2 linked regions of the Kluyveromyces lactis genome follow. The protein of the gene in region 1 interacts with the protein of each later gene in a biochemical or structural test. Links are inferred from orthologs where the notes say so. Each region holds a gene or a part of one and is shown in the gene's direction. Other genes may lie near its edges.

Evidence for each region.
Region 2: of the proteins of MCM4 (region 1) and CDC7, one has a biochemical effect on the other in vitro, tested with the Saccharomyces cerevisiae proteins (9 studies listed by BioGRID, with this or other methods). The link is inferred for Kluyveromyces lactis from reciprocal best matches to the Saccharomyces cerevisiae genes MCM4 and CDC7.

The regions. Positions count from the first base shown.
Region 1 is NC_006039.1:1,537,562-1,542,153, reverse strand, and holds MCM4 (MCM DNA helicase complex subunit MCM4), read left to right. Parts: upstream 1-1,768; coding exon 1,769-4,447; downstream 4,448-4,592. Other genes in the region: mannose-ethanolamine phosphotransferase GPI13, read right to left, coding at 1-1,187. UniProt on the Saccharomyces cerevisiae protein: Acts as a component of the MCM2-7 complex (MCM complex) which is the putative replicative helicase essential for 'once per cell cycle' DNA replication initiation and elongation in eukaryotic cells.
Region 2 is NC_006039.1:396,645-400,057, forward strand, and holds CDC7 (serine/threonine protein kinase CDC7), read left to right. Parts: upstream 1-1,254; coding exon 1,255-2,682; downstream 2,683-3,413. Other genes in the region: DAL1 (allantoinase), read left to right, coding at 1-248; ERP3 (Erp3p), read right to left, coding at 335-1,054; trans-2-enoyl-CoA reductase (NADPH) TSC13, read right to left, coding at 2,987-3,413. UniProt on the Saccharomyces cerevisiae protein: Serine/threonine-protein kinase. Needed for the initiation of DNA synthesis during mitosis as well as for synaptonemal complex formation and commitment to recombination during meiosis. Required for HTA1-HTB1 locus transcription repression.

The DNA.
Region 1 (4,592 bases):
TCTAATTGGTTCCGACATATATTGTGGTAAAGCGTTAATTCTTCAGGGTCATTTGCAATTTCATCCAACGGCCAACCCAAATTATTGAATGGAATTGGAATTCCCAATAGTAAGGAGAGGGTAGGCACCAGGTCAATCTGGTTCATTTGCTTATATGAAGTACCCAGATCTGTAGTATTATAACTGTCGTAATCCTTACTCCAGTTGGCATTCTTCGCGTATAGCCAAAGGACACTTTCCAACTCGTCTTGCGAATCACCACCGTGGTTTCCTGTGTGGTCCATACCGTGATCACCCATAACAACGTATAACGTGTTATCATCTGCAGTGCTTATAATTTTCCGCAATAGCTCATCAACTTGAAGCTGTTTTTCCTTCATGGTAAAATGATTAGGACCGTACTTATGTCCGACATGATCAACTCCTAACATATGTCCGATCAAGATATCGTATTCAGACCGTTTCTCTTCATTGAAATAATACTCCTCTAAGTAAGAAATAACCCCATTATCGACTGTGTCTAAATCCCAAACGTTCAAGGATTCATATGGTACACTTTCTGGAGCCAAATACGGATTAAATAGGGCATCCCAAGTGTCATCACCGGCAAAGAATATTTTCTTGTTATGCAGATAAAGCTGTTTTATTAAGTTATCCTCATCGATCACATCACCATTGAAATTCGATCCTGCATCTATAAATGTAGGCAAGGAACCTGTTGTCAATCCCTTTAATCTTTGTAGCGTAGTTGTGGGAGGATCAGCCAAAAACTTCAACAAGACAGAATCCGTTGAGTTATGGGCCGTCTCATAAAGAACTTTCAAATTGTTATGATAATTAGGGTTGTACTTGGCATGATTTTCATCTACTGGAATAACGAAATCAAACCTCAATGCGTCCACTATTAGTAAAACCATCTTATCGTATTTAGCTTCGAAGGGAAGCTGGGGATCAAGTTCTGCAACGTTATCCAACACCGTCCTTGTTAAAAGGAACCCTTTTGCGAAAAATGCTATGGAAATAAACTGCAATACAGCCAAAGAAGCAAGTAATAGTATGTACAGAGTGTGCGTAGACTTGAACCTTGATATCCGATAGCTCATTCGACTGGACCTCGTTTGAGGCCCCATTATGCTGAGTCTAATTCTCTCTGCCCGATCTCGTTCATCACTAACAGTGGGATTCATCACTTCTTACCAGTTTCCAAACGGGACAAAAACACAACTAAACGAAAGTACAATAAATTCACGTTGAATAATGATATTGTGCAGAAGAATTGAGTCACACTGGCGAAAGTGGTTCGCTTATCTCTCGCCTCTGACAGAGTTCTTGTTACCACTTTATTTCATTTTAAAGGTTAATTTCTTTTAAAACAGAACAATTGTACATCACGTGATCATTGTTCCCTCTTCAAATAATGCAACTCCAATTCTGATCGGCGAAGATACTGACCATTGAGCTGAGTGGATCCATGGTATTATCAACGGTGGCAAGGGCTCATTAGAACCTTGTTTATTTCAATTTGTTCTGTTTTCTTCTTTAGGAAATGTAACTATGTAACCAAAAATGTGTAAAATCTTAACGAGTTTCACTTAGTTCACTCAAAGCATCTCAAACAAGATAACATTATCAATTGAAAGGTGATATATCAGGGAACCTAGGATTATTTAGCTGCTTAGTAGGTTTGATAAAATTGCTGAATTAGCATTTGGATAATAGTGGCAGTATATATCCATAGAACACAGGAAGACAAACGGTTAACAATATTATGTCCTCACCTCCAGCTCAACAACCAAGTTCACCAAATTTGTTTTATGATCCTAGCTCTTCTCCAGCTCCTCATGGTACACAGGATTCCCAGGCATCTCAAGACCGAGGCGTAGGCTCTTCTCCGTTTCACTATCCTTCGTCTTCGTCAAATGCCACGCAAGAGACGGCTCGCGCCGCTCCTAGTAGCAGTGGTTTAAGATCTAACAATTTGAGATCTGATCTATTGAACTATTCATCCTCTCTATCCTCAAGTGCAAGAGAGGGAAGACACTCTAGATCTAGAAGAGGCGAAATTAATGCATCTGACTTATCATCTCCCAGAAGAATTGTCACTTTCAATAACCTTTCCTCATCGGATAATGGATTTTCATCATCATCGAGACCTGCATCTGAAGCTGCTGATCAACCTTTGAAGATCATCTGGGGTACCAATGTTTCGATCCAAGAGTGTGGTAACAGTTTCAGAGAATTTTTGATGTCTTTCAAGTTGAAATATAGAAAGGAGCTAGATGATCAGGAGATTTTCATCAACGAAACAACAGACCAAGAGCTGTATTATGTGAATCAATTGAATCAAATGAGACAACTCGGTACTTCAAACTTGAACCTTGATATCAGAAATTTACTGGCTTATAAACATACTGAAAAGTTGTTTCATCAGATTCTCTATTACCCTCAAGAAATTATAGCTATTATGGATCAAACTGTTAAAGATTGTATGGTATCCTTAGCACTTGATAATGGGTTAGAGAGTTACTTGAATGAAATTGAATCGAAGTTGTTCAAAGTGAGACCATATAATGTGGAAACCAAAAAGGGTATGAGAGAGCTTAATCCTAATGATATTGATAAATTGGTGAGTATCAAAGGTTTAGTTCTAAGATCCACACCTATTATCCCAGATATGAGTGTTGCATTTTTCAAATGTAACGTATGCAATCATACTGTAGAAGTTGAGATCGATCGTGGTATTATTCAAGAACCAGTGAGATGTCCCAGAGTGGTCTGTAATAGCCCAAACTCCATGGTTTTAGTTCACAATAGGTGCACTTTCCAAGACAGACAAGTGATAAAGTTACAAGAAACGCCTGATCTAGTCCCTGATGGACAAACTCCACACTCTGTTTCCCTATGTGTATATGATGAGCTGGTTGATTCGTGTCGTGCTGGTGATAGAATTGAGGTTTCAGGTATCTTTAGATCTATTCCAATCAGGTCGAATCCAAAGCAAAGAGCCCTCAAATCTCTATACAAGACATACATCGATGTGGTTCATATCCAAAAGGTGGCTAAAGATAGAGTCGGTGTGGACACTTCTACTGTTGAACAACAACTCTTGCAGAACCAGATTGATAATGTGGAAGAGATTAGAACTTTGAGTAGCGAAGACATTAGGAGGATCAAAGAAACTGCTCGCCGATCGGATGTCTATGATGTTTTGTCACGTTCCATCGCACCAAGTATTTACGAGTTAGATGACGTCAAGAAGGGAATCTTATTACAACTCTTTGGTGGTGCTAATAAAACTTTCAAGAAAGGTGGAAGATATAGAGGTGACATTAATATTCTACTATGTGGTGATCCTTCGACCTCTAAATCTCAAATTTTACAATATGTTCATAAGATTGCTCCTCGTGGTGTTTACACTTCGGGTAAGGGTTCCTCTGCTGTTGGTTTAACTGCTTATGTTACAAGAGATGTGGATACTAAGCAACTGGTGTTGGAAAGTGGTGCTTTAGTTCTCTCTGACGGTGGTGTGTGTTGTATTGATGAATTTGATAAGATGAACGATAATACTAGATCAGTATTACATGAAGTTATGGAACAACAAACAATCTCTATTGCAAAAGCAGGTATTATTACAACTTTAAATGCTAGAACTTCAATTCTGGCTAGTGCCAATCCTATCAACTCTAGGTACAATCCTAATCTTCCTGTGACTGAAAATATTGATTTGCCGCCTCCATTATTATCAAGATTTGATCTCGTTTATCTAGTGCTTGACAAGGTCAACGAAGCGTCTGATCGTGAACTCGCTAAGCATTTAACCAGTTTATACCTGGAAGACAGACCGGATTCTGTATCTCAAGGTGATATTCTACCAGTTGAATTCTTGACAGCCTACATCAACTATGCAAAACAAAACATTCACCCGGTAATAACTGAGTCAGCCAAGACTGAACTTGTGAGGGCATATGTCGGTATGAGAAAGATGGGTGATGACAGTAGATCAGATGAAAAAAGAATTACCGCAACAACAAGACAGTTAGAAAGTATGATTAGACTTTCAGAAGCTCATGCTAAGATGAGGTTAAGTGAAAGAGTTGAACTTGAAGATGTGGAAGAAGCAGTGAGACTGATAAAGTCTGCCATCAAAGATTACGCTACGGATCCTAAAACTGGTAAAATTGATATGAACCTTGTACAAACTGGTAAATCGGTTGTGCAAAGAAAATTGCTTGAAGACTTGGCGAGAGAAATTTTAAAGATATTGACAGAAAGGACAACAGACACAATAAGTTTCAACGAACTAAGCAAGCTTATAAACGAACAATCGCAAGATAAAGTGGAGAGTATCGAATTATCAAACGCTTTGACAAGATTGCAACAAGAAGACAAGGTAGTAATCTTAGGAGAAGGTCTAAGAAGATCAATTCGTTTGAATGGCCGTGTATGAATAGATATTATCAAGTCTAGTTTTTCTGAGAAAGCCTCTACATAGTTTGCAAAGGGCTAAATGAGAATAACGACCTTCCGCATGTTCTGCTTATATACATACGTTCTGTGTATATATCATCGTGAAAGTGTTTGACATTATAATA
Region 2 (3,413 bases), about 1.1 Mb from region 1:
ATCACAGGAAGGGTTTCCTAAGAACTGGATACGACGCAGATTTTGTTATCTTCGACATCAATACCTATCAGACTGTCGACAACGATAAAGTTTATTTCAAAAACAAACTGACAGCCTATGATGGGTTCAAACTGAAAGGTTTAGTGAGAAACACCTATGTTAGAGGAAAATTGGCTTTTGAACTTGACGGCATGGGACATAATAAAAACCCTCCCGGCCAGACAATTCTTGAACGCAGAAGAACATGAAGTACCCCATCTTCTAATCATTTTTTTTTCTTCAATTTTGAATTACCTTTATTTGATGCATGATATACATATTATATATATATCACTTATGATTTAAATTTACCTAGAATATACTTCATTATTATAATTTCTAGAACAGCAATCGTCGGTACAAGAACTATGGAGCAAATTGATATGGTGACCAACCTCGATGCTATTGATTTAACAGTGTGGTGGTTTCTTTCTGCACGTGATTTGTACAGCTTCAAATTTCTTTCCAAGACTTGAAGCTGATCCTCTATTATATTTACAGAATCTTGCAGTGTCCTCACCAGTGAACTATCTATCGTCTCTCCTATCAAACGAGGATCTGCTGGCTTCGGTATCTGATCGAAACATATCTGTACAATGTCTAAATCAACAATCTTAGGATATTCATCACCAATGACACATAACGCATATTCACCAGTATGTTTCGCAGGAAATGTCCATTGCCCTTGCTCTTCGTCATCTTTGTAAATCATAGGATACTCTGTATCGTCCGGAGACCATAATTCATAGCTTACTCTGAAGGCATTGTTTTCTCCCTCTTGTACTGCGAAGTAATAAGATATTTTGCAGTCACTGTCATCAACATCAATGTAAACACATTCTTTCCCATTCTTCTGTAATTGTACCGTTATTGGTGAGCTTTGACAGACAATCACAAGCGAAAATACCCATAACCATGTAAACTTCATATTTAATAAGTTATACATGAAGGTTGCTTTGTGTGTAAATGTCCTTTTATTCGACAATTCCCCTTTTAACGTCCTGTTTCTGTTCATTAATATATGTCATTTCAATGTGAACTACTGCTGTTTGTTATTATATTTGGTTTCGACAATAAAAATGAAAACATCGCCAAAAAATGCATAGAATAAAAGAATCAACGGATATAGCGTATCTGTTCTTGTAGAGTCAAACCAATGGGTATACAGCTCGTCTGTTAGGCTTCATATTAGGTGGCAATATACACACTATAATTATGGATGACATTCCCGCTGAAATCATCCAGGAAATGGATGATTTGTACGATAAGGTACCACAGTTGTCATCCAGATACAAGCTACTGGATAAGATCGGAGAGGGGACCTTTTCATCGGTATATAAAGCTCAAGATCTTAGCAACGTATCTGGAAGGTTATACCCTGATCATTTCTGGGATAAGAATAGTAAACATGTGGCTATCAAGAGGATATACGTGACAAGCTCGCCGAACAGAATTGAAAATGAACTTAAACTCTTAGAGTTACTGTCAAATTCGAATAACGTAGCACCATTATGCGACGCGATTCGATACCAGGATCAGGTGGTTGTCGTCTTGCCCTGGTATCCGCATGAAGAATTCCGGCATTTCTACCGAGACATGCCTATCAAGGGGATAAAGAAGTACATGTTTGAACTTTTAAGCGCCTTGAAATACGTGCACTCATTTGGAATCATTCACAGAGACGTGAAGCCAACCAATTTCCTATACAACCCAATACTTGGGAGAGGTGTGTTAGTAGACTTTGGTTTGGCTGAAGAGAATGAAGAGTTGTACTTGCCTGACCTCAACTATCGTGTGTATGTTAATGACCAGGGAGAGAAGGTTTGTAATTGTTCTTCACCGTATGCTAACAACAAAAAGACATCACATCTGCCGTTGATATCCATTCAGAACGGGCAGCTTAACGTTAGAGGGGCAAATGAATTAAGTGCTGCACAAAGTGAGAATCTCATGAAGGCAGAATTGAGTAAGGGGTACCCAAAACATGAAACTAGGAGGCAGCGTAGAGCTAATAGAGCTGGTACGAGAGGGTTCAGAGCGCCAGAAGTGCTTATGAAATGTTCTTTCCAAACTCAAAAAATTGACATTTGGTCAGTTGGTGTGATACTGTTAAGTTTCATCAGCAGAAGGTTCCCAATCTTTCAAAGCATGGATGATATTGACGCCTTTCTGGAGATATGTTGCATTTTTGGAATCAAGCCCATGCAAGAAGTCGCCAAGTTCCATGGGTTGGGACTAGACATGACAAAGGTTCCAGGTTTCCATTCGGAAGGATATCCTGGGGGGCTACAAGGTTTTGTGAGAGCTTTACTTGACAAAGAAGTGGAGGAAGGAACATTACCAGAGTATTCCATAGCGTTCGAGACGTTGGATTATTTGACACAATTTGACAAACAACTCACGCCAAGTTTAGGCCCAGACGATGAAGAGGATATTGATGATAAAATACGGAGCTACAAACAAGCAGTTTGGGACGATCATTTTTGGTGTTTTGATCTCTTGGCAAAATGTTTCGAACTCAATTCATACAAAAGACCCAGCGCCAGTGATCTTCTTGAACATTTATGGTTCAAAGAACTGAACGAAGATTTACTTGATAGAGATCAAAGAAGAGAAGATCACTTCACCGGGGTCGTTGAGTAATGAAATCCAGAACGAAACAAAAATATTTGACGAAAATTAGCATATATTCACCGCAATAACTTAGAGCAGAACTCATTTTTTATATACATGCATTCATATATAGAGTTCTTTAACCGATAGAGTAATTTAATACTTTGCATTCATCATCATTATTATATTTAGTTTACAAACGTTGCCAACGCTTTGACGGCATAAGTTAGAGAACAAGTGCGTAAATAAACGAGTAAAACAGCGTTATTCACTTAAGAGAGAATGCTATAATACCCCAAGTCAAATATGTATGTGGTGATAGTAATTGGTGAATTCAGAACAAGAATGGGATCAAGAATGCTCTCTTGGTACCATATTTCTTGTTTTTCTTTTGAGCCCACAAGTACATCTGAACCACCGAGACAACAAGGAAAAGAACTGAGAATAAGTTCAACTTGAACAACAAAGTGAAAAACATCCAAGCCCAAGATTCAAAAGTGTAATTTGGAGCGACAAGTAGTTTGAACAACCCAGAATTCAATGGGACTCTCTTCGTGACACCGTTTCTCTTTTGTTCATCACCCCATCTACGCAATGCGACATGGATATAGAAATTGAACATCTCTGACAATCCAAACAAAGCGGTTAAGACTCTGAAATCAGATATCTTGAGAGCGCTGTAAACTCTGTATAAGGTCTTGTTAGCGAATGGGAACCCGTAACCAAAGTAACCCAACGAGATCAACCCGTTCAAGATCCAG